Linked DNA regions of Xenopus tropicalis. The protein of the gene in region 1 purifies or fractionates together with the protein of each later gene. This does not show direct contact. Links are inferred from orthologs where the notes say so. Each region holds a gene or a part of one and is shown in the gene's direction. Other genes may lie near its edges.

Region 1 (4,143 bases):
AGTAATCAGTACTGTTCTTCACATTGGGTAGGGCATTAACCCATTATTAGTCAGATTTTCATATATTTTGTTAGTGCTCTAAATGTAGTTTGCAGTAGTCTAGGTGGCATAGGATAAGGGGATTGTTTTAAGGAATAAGAGCAAGGTTTTAGTTTAGGCCAAAGACTTGAGTGCTTGTCAAATAGCAGAAGGTAGTGAAGAGGTTAACCCAAGAAGTTTTTTGCGTGGTCAGTCAACACTTGGTATAAAAGTAGGGTACAAATAATATAACTATTGATTTAACATCTACTGTATTAATATAGAAATAGCATATAACCATCATTCCTCTGCCCCCCAAGCATCAAAATCCTGACTGGCACAGGGATTGTTTTAGGGTTGGCAGAAAGAAAGAGCATTAGACCTGGATCCCATCATCAAAACATAGAGGAAAATGTTAATTGTTTTAGTTTTAGTGAATACTGTGATGCTCTCCTATATTATCCTATCAGGGTCGGATTGGGGGTCTCCGGAGCCCACCCCTCTGCATGCCTTGTTGCTTTTGCACCCGTTGTGGGGCAGGAGTGCCAGGGTGTGCGACTGAGTCAGTGGGGCCCTCAAGGTGCTCATGGTTCCCAGCTGGCCCACTCTGACACTGTATCCCAGCATCTCACCTATAGATGGGACCACAGCTTTCCTGCATTGCCAGACACCTCCCCAGGAAATCAATGCTCTTTGCTTGTTAAGTAATCTGTGTTCTGTATAAACAGGCACCACACACTTACATGTTGATGTTTGAGATGGTATAATCAAACTCTTGTAATGTACTTTCTCTTGTGAGTGCCTGGGACATATCCACTCTAACATTTATCATTTATTTAGATTCCACAGTGGTGTGTCGACTACATGAGGTCATTGCCTGGTCCCAAAAGAGGCGTTGCATGTACCCAGCCAAGAAGAGTGGCTGCCATGAGTGTGGCTCAAAGAGTTGCAGATGAAATGGATGTCATGTTGGGTCAGGAAGTTGGTTATTCCATTAGGTTTGAAGACTGCAGCAGTGCAAAAACAATCTTGAAGTAAGTTGTCTGAATTTTTAATTTTTTTTTAGTGAGCAGCTTTTTATTTCAAAGGCTGCAGGTTAGGAAAGAGGGGTTAGTTCATTTTAAACAAAATACCCTGTTTATAGGGGGTAAGTTAAGTAAAAAATGAACAGATTAAGTAATTGGAAAGAAATTGTTTTTGCGCAACCTGACAGGTCCAGGGCCCTCAAAGTTTTGTGTGCCATAGGCCTTATAGTTGAATTGTAGTGCTTTTTAAAAACTTTGTTTCTAATTTGTCTGTTTATTTCCCTTTAGGTACATGACAGACGGTATGTTACTCCGGGAAGCTATGAACGATCCATTGTTGGAACGCTATGGGGTAGTGATTCTTGACGAAGCTCATGAAAGGACCTTAGCAACAGATATTCTAATGGGTGTTTTAAAGGAAGTTGTAAGACAAAGGAATGACTTAAAGGTGAGTGTTCCTTCCTAATATGTTTTATGTAATTGTATTTAATTTAGTGTTTAGGGCGAGGTCACAGAAGTGGATAGCCGATTCTCTCCCTGCATTTTTTTTACAAGAAGTGGATTTGGTTGCCTACGCTTCTCTGTGTGCCACTGTTAAAAGCAAAAAAAACAAAAAAGAGGGGTGGATTGGAGATTGGCCTGAAAAACGTGAAAACTGACATTTCCCAAGTTGACCCCCATTCTGTGTGCCCACTTAGGCAGTTTCCATAATTTGTAATGCAGACACAGAGGAGCGTAGGCAATTGGATCCACTTATCTCAGCCTGGCCAGAAAACACAGGGCTAAGACAAGCGGATATAAATTTTGTGTAACCTCGCCCTTAATGTCTGGCATCTCCACCTGCAATTCTCTTTAGCTATATTCATCCAGATTGTGAGCATACAAAGTTGTGTAGGAAGCCAAACTGCAAGCATGATTGTAAACAATTACTACAGAGAAGTCCCTGTTTATGCATTAGATTAGGGCTAACTTGACAGACTAGTTTTTTAGTGAGATGAGGGCAGGGAATGAATGGATTCCTCTGTTATATTGCCGTGCTGTATGGGGAATTTCCAGAGAATATTCTGCTAATGCCACTACAAAATGTACTATCCCCCACAGAACACCTGTAAAGGGGTAAATAATGCAAGATAGTTCGCTTAAATTCTGTGTCATTGTTGCAGTTTATCCAGTTGACCAATGTGGCCAAAATCAGTAACCAAAAATGTGTTGTTTTCTTGTAATCAGGCTATCTAACAGATAGGTCTGATCTTTCTTTCAGGTGTTTCATGGCTTTTCAGGCCCCCTAGTTGTATTTCAGAATGAGGAAGTCTAATCTTCTCAGTGTAGCTGATCATTTATAGAGAGCTGGTTTATTCTTTTTCCCTGTTAATGTAATTACGTTTTTAAGACTTGGACTTGGTATAAGGATTTTATTTAGGTTTTTTTTTTTTTTAGATACCATGACAGCACCAGATATTAATCTGTCTCTTATTGGAAGTGATTTTACAAACAAACTATTATAGGGCAGTGTGCTCCAATGTCTCGTCTTGGGACATGCTAAATATGAACAAAGTATTCCTCTATTGGCTGTAATATTGCAAAAAATTGTAATTTTGTATGCTTAATGAAAACTAATCACATTCTTTCTTTTGTCTTTATTATCAATTTAAGCATGTGGCTTTAATATGTTTCACTTGATATTTTTGCCAGTAAATTTTACAGGGTCAATAAAGGTATCTCCGTGAAGTTTTAAGAAAATACCTCACTGATTTTATTTTCCCTAATATTATTCTTACAATTCTGTAAAGATTGCCTAGTTTTTTTTTTTTTTTTTTTTATAGGTTTGTCAATAGCCTTTAAAGTTTTGTTGAACATGTTGTTAACTTGCTGTTTGCGTCGGTTATATATTTTTTTCTTATTTCTCCCCCAGGTTATAGTTATGAGTGCCACTTTAGATGCTGGCAAATTCCAGGTATATTTTGATAGCTGCCCTCTTTTAACAATCCCTGGACGAACACACCCTGTAGAAATCTTCTATACTCCAGAGCCTGAGCGGGATTACCTAGAGGCAGCCATTCGAACAGTGATTCAGATTCACATGTGTGAAGAGGAGGAAGGAGATCTCCTGCTTTTTCTTACTGGACAAGAGGTTTGTAAGGAGGCAAATTATTTTGCTTTTATATTATCAATTAAAGGGGTGTCTCTATGCAAGCGACGTTATATAATCTAAGGCTTGTATAGGGTTTCCCTTTTATAGTAGTCATAGATGTTTTCTGCCGTCTGAGAAACACAATCTGTCCCCTTTAAAAGTGTATCTAGCAGCAATGAAACATTACCAGAGTTAGTCTGTACATAGTTACATAGGGTTGAAAAAAGACCAGTGTCCATCAAGTTCAACCCATCCGAGTAAACCCAGCACATCTAACCCACACCTACCAATCTATACACTCGCATACATAAACTATAAATACAACCACTAGTACTAACTGTAGATATTAGTATCACAATAGCCTTGGATATTCTGATTGTTCAAGAACTCATCCAGGCCCCTCTTAAAGGCATTAACAGAATCTGCCATTACCACATCTCTAGGAAGGGCATTCCACAACCTCACTGCCCTCACCGTGAAAAACCACCTACGCTGCTTCAAATGGAAGCTCCGTTCCTCTAATCTAAAGGGGGGGCCTCTGGTGCGTTGATTGCTTTTATGGGAAAAAAGAACATCCCCCATTTGCCTATAATCCCCTCTAATGTACTTGTACAGAGTAATCATGTCCCCTCGCAAGCGCACTCTTTTCCAGAGAAACCAACCTCAACCTCGCCAGTCTCACCTCCTAGTTTAAATCTTCCATCCCCTTAACCAGTTTAGTTGCACGTCTCTGCACTCTCTCCAGCTCATTAATATCCCTCTTAAGGACTGGAGCCCAAAACTGCACTGCATACTCAAGGTGAGGCCTTACCAGGGACCTATAAACGGGCAAAATTATGTTCTCATCCCTTGAGTCAATGCCCTTTTTTATACAAGACAGCACTTTATTTGCTTTAGTAGCCACAGAATGACACTGCCTGGAATTGGACAACTTGTTATCTACAAAAACCCCTAGATCCTTCTCCACAC
Region 2 (4,143 bases), on another chromosome or scaffold:
TTTTCTTTACCCTTTATCGATTTTTATTACACTTAAGGGCCTGATAAATTGTCTACTTTCAACAATGAAGAAAGCCATTGAAGATGATGTGTTTATTCCTCTCTTTCCAAAAAGGTAGGTCATTAGTCACTGCTAAATACACAGCCTTTTACCGCAGTATTGCTAAATAATAAATGCGATACAATAAAATAGGAAACCCAGAAGTGCATCTCTGCTCCTCCACATTTATAAACAATAGGGAAATCTGCACCTTGAGAGTAACCATTTCGTCACTGTTCTACCTGCAAATGCATGTTGGCTTGAAATGCTGTATTTTATATAGTGAATCAGCCATGCTCTAACAATAATGATTTAAAGGAACAGTAACACCAAAAAATGAAAGTGTATAAAAGTAACTAAAATATAATGTGCTGCTGCCCTGCACTGGTAAAAGTTGTGTGTTTACTTCAGAAAGTCTACTATAATTTATATAAATAAGCTGCTATGTAGCCATGGAGGCAGCCATTCAAAGGAGAAAAGGCACAGGCACATAGCAGATAACAGATAAAACACTATTGTTTTCTACAGAACTTATCTGTTATCTGCCATGTAACCTGTGCCTTTTTTCCAGCTTGAATGGCTGCCCCCGTGGCTACACAGCAGCTTATTATATAAATTATAGTAGTGTTACTGTAGCAAACACACCAGTTTTACCAGTGCAGGGCAACAGTGCATTATATATTTATTACTTTAAAGCTTTTTATTTTTTGGTGTTACTGTTCCTTGAACCCCTCAAAGCTCTCCACAGATCCCCATCTTTTGAGTCAGTGGCACTGCACATGCTCAATGTGTCTGGGCTGCTGTTGCAAAGCAAAGCTTTGAGGTTGTTGGAAATCATCAAGCAGGCAATGAGGTTCCATCTGCCAAAGAAGCTGATGCTACAGGGATGATAATTAAATTCTGATGCAGAATACACTGGATTTTGTGCTGCCATGTAACATGATTCTGGATTACTAATTAGACTTGTATTGTATCTTTCATATTGTGTATGTATGTATGTTGTGAGTCGGTCCCTAAGCTCAGGTAAGTGAGAACAGCCGTGTACTGGGAAGCAGCAGAATAAAATATGGGGAGCTACTGGTGGCATCTTCAAAGGCAAAGGTCTTCTAACATGGCTATGGTGGCCATGGCCTGCTTAAACTTTAGTTGTCCTTTAAGATGACTTCACAAATAAGAGCTGTTGTGTTTCCTGTTAAACATAAACAGCAAAGACTTATCTTAGAAGGACATCCTGAACTCTGGGCCCAACATCCTCTGTTTGCCAGACTGGTAAATAGAGAACAGAGCGCCTTCAAGATCAGTTTAAAGTATGCAGTCCCTTTCTCTTAATTTTTTTTTTTTTAATTTTGCTTGTGAAAAATATCTGTCCCTCTGCCTGTTATGAACTGGGAAGAAAATCATGGAGTAATCACATGGGGGGGAAGGGTATCTATCCGAGAGACTGGGGCTCATTTACTGAGACTGTCCCTTTGTATTTGTATTGGAAGCTGATTTATGGGCATTTCTGTACCTTTATACTATTTGGGAGAGAACTAGCTAATTAGTCCTAGTCTTTTATTAAAGGAGGAACTAAGCTCCATAAAGAATTAGTCTAGAGATAAAGAATTAGTCTAAATATGTTAAACATATTTTGGGATTCTGTACCAGCCCAAGGCCACCACAGCCCTTTAGCAGGTAAGGTCAACCCCCCCCCCCCCCCCCAAAGATGCCCCCAGTATCCCCCCATCTGCTCATTCCCAGCACATGCCCTGGGCTGGTCTCACTTATCTAAGCTTAGTGACTGACTTACAATATCCTGTACTTATATATAGAAAATAAAGTTCTAACAAAATAACAGATTCACGTTATATGGCAGCATAAAAACCAGTGTAGTCTGCATTAGAATCATCTCTGCAGCACAGCTTCTGTAAATTAAGTTTCTGTTGTGTTGATTCTTTTCAGTCCAATTTAGGACTGGTGCAAAATTTTGCACCAAATGCAGAATAGAATATTTTTCAACTTTACTTTGCCCCTTCTTGTTATTCGGTATTTATGTGATTTATGGACTTTAGGAGTATGGTGCAGTTACTCATATATTTCTCAATTCTTTTCCTCCCACATTTCCTTAATAGACTTTTGGAAGACAGATTCTCTCCGCATTCAAGATTCCAAGAAAGGCGTTTCTGGTCTGCTGTGAAAGTAAGTGATGGACATATGGGTATATAATAAATAAATATATATGTATGTGTGTGTGTCATATTACATATATGAACTCAAGTTATGTCTCTTCTGATACAGAACATGCTAAAATATCATACTGAAGCTTTGAAGTAAGAACATCACTTCATGCCAAATTGATCCATTTGTAACTTTACTGGAGTGAGCTCTGATTTAATTTCTAATGCTTGTTCTTCCCAGATGTTCCAGAACGTTCTTTGCTGGGATGGATTCCTCCAAGAAGAGACCCTGCAAGAGCTCAGCCTTGATAAGCTGCTTAATCGATACCTACTGCTAGTAATTCTGAATGCAGAGCCAGGACCAGACAGTGTGAAGAAGTGCAAGAGAGTAAGTAGCCACTCACCGTAGTGCCCTTAGTAACTGAAAAGATCCGGACTGGGATTCACAATAGGCCCTGGCATTTCAAGTACACAGAGGCCCAAACAGCCCCCCACCACTCCAATAAATAGTCAAGACAAATTACAGAGCACTGATCTGTATTTTTTCTTGAGTTGGTGGCCAGTGGCGGAACTGCAAAACAGATCAGCAAAGGAAAAAATTCTGAGGGTTTACTTTCCTTTAAAAAAGTTTTTGCATATCAAGTTGAAGTCCTATAAATAGTGAATGCCTATGGCATCTTACAAAGCCCCTCTGGCCATTGATTTATAGATCCTTTCCTTGCACCTAAGGGTAAGAACCCATGGAGCGGTTCTATCGCCCGAGATAGATCTCTGCTATAGTGGGTGACCAACCATTCCGAAAAAAGCTTTCCACCGACAACAATAGGAGCAGAACAGATGGTTGTCCAGCAGTAAGTTTACAAGCTTATTGTCTCTCAGAGGGATTTTTATGGCCCCCAGCTTGAGAGGTTCCTTGATTTCATAGTATGTCATCATCCTTTTAGTAGAATTCAGCCCTGAACGTGCAATATGAGAGATAATTTGCCCCCCTCCAAGCTGAAAAGCATAGGACTGTGCCAAGATAAGAATTGTTCTGCCGTGACTTCATTCTGCAGGAACGAGCCATTAGGATCGCTTATAGTCCTACAACTATATAAGCACGGGGTTCCTCTGTACTTACCACAGATCTGCAGGGAAGTTCATAGGGTTAGGACCTATCAGGCTTAAGAAACACATATATCAGGGCAAGAATCAGCCCCTACGCTCTGATGAGCTTTTGGATGTGCCTACACACACATCGGATTTCAGCACTGAAACAGGTGAGTTTGCATTTCAGTGCCAAAATCCATTTTGTGCCCTTGCATTCAGGCCGACACAGTGGCTCTGGGTCCAGGCCCATGGAAAGGCTGTTCAGAGCACTGGGGCTGATTTTTGGCCTGCATTTATCTGCAGGCCACGTGTGGCCATTGCCTTAAACATGTGCCTCCTACTAACAGTAACAGACTTTCCTTACTTCCCAGTCTTCCACTGTCATTCAAACAGGATAGTATTTTTTAACAGTATTTTCTTTAGCAGTGACCTCACTATATCTGACCATGCCTTTTCCTGTAGGTGGTTGAATGTCTCCCTCAGAGCTGGTTTAGGAACCTTGAGAGTGGATCATCTCTTCATCGCTTACTGAATTTCAGCAAACACCTACTGCAGTCTATTCATACTCTGCACAAGCTAAATGACAGGTAAATGCTCTGCTTCCTTTCCCAGCATTCTCTCTCTGGTGAGGGGGTGGGGGGTGGGGGGCATGTTGTAGTTCTATACTGCAATTAATTTGGGGCAGGGGGGTGCATCTGCAACCCTGCTGGTTGTCCCTTCAGTCAGTACATATGCAGTCGGCAAGATCATTTCAATGTGCCACATAGAAGTAGTAGTTATTACAGCCGGACATTTTATTCGTCATTTACAGTTTGTAGTATTTGTTTGGAGAATGTTGTCGCCATAATGTAATAAGTAT

The links.
Region 2: the proteins of dhx15 (region 1) and gcfc2 purify together in Homo sapiens (co-immunoprecipitation; 3 studies listed by BioGRID and IntAct, with this or other methods). This does not show direct contact. The link is inferred for Xenopus tropicalis from reciprocal best matches to the Homo sapiens genes DHX15 and GCFC2.

Annotation. Positions count from the first base shown.
Region 1 is NC_030677.2:31,426,301-31,430,443, reverse strand, and holds part of dhx15 (pre-mRNA-splicing factor ATP-dependent RNA helicase DHX15), read left to right. Parts: intron 1-858; coding exon 859-1,052; intron 1,053-1,331; coding exon 1,332-1,491; intron 1,492-2,955; coding exon 2,956-3,174; intron 3,175-4,143.
Region 2 is NC_030681.2:145,834,566-145,838,708, reverse strand, and holds part of gcfc2 (GC-rich sequence DNA-binding factor 2), read left to right. Parts: intron 1-37; coding exon 38-114; intron 115-2,150; coding exon 2,151-2,217; intron 2,218-2,436; coding exon 2,437-2,583; intron 2,584-3,746; coding exon 3,747-3,871; intron 3,872-4,143.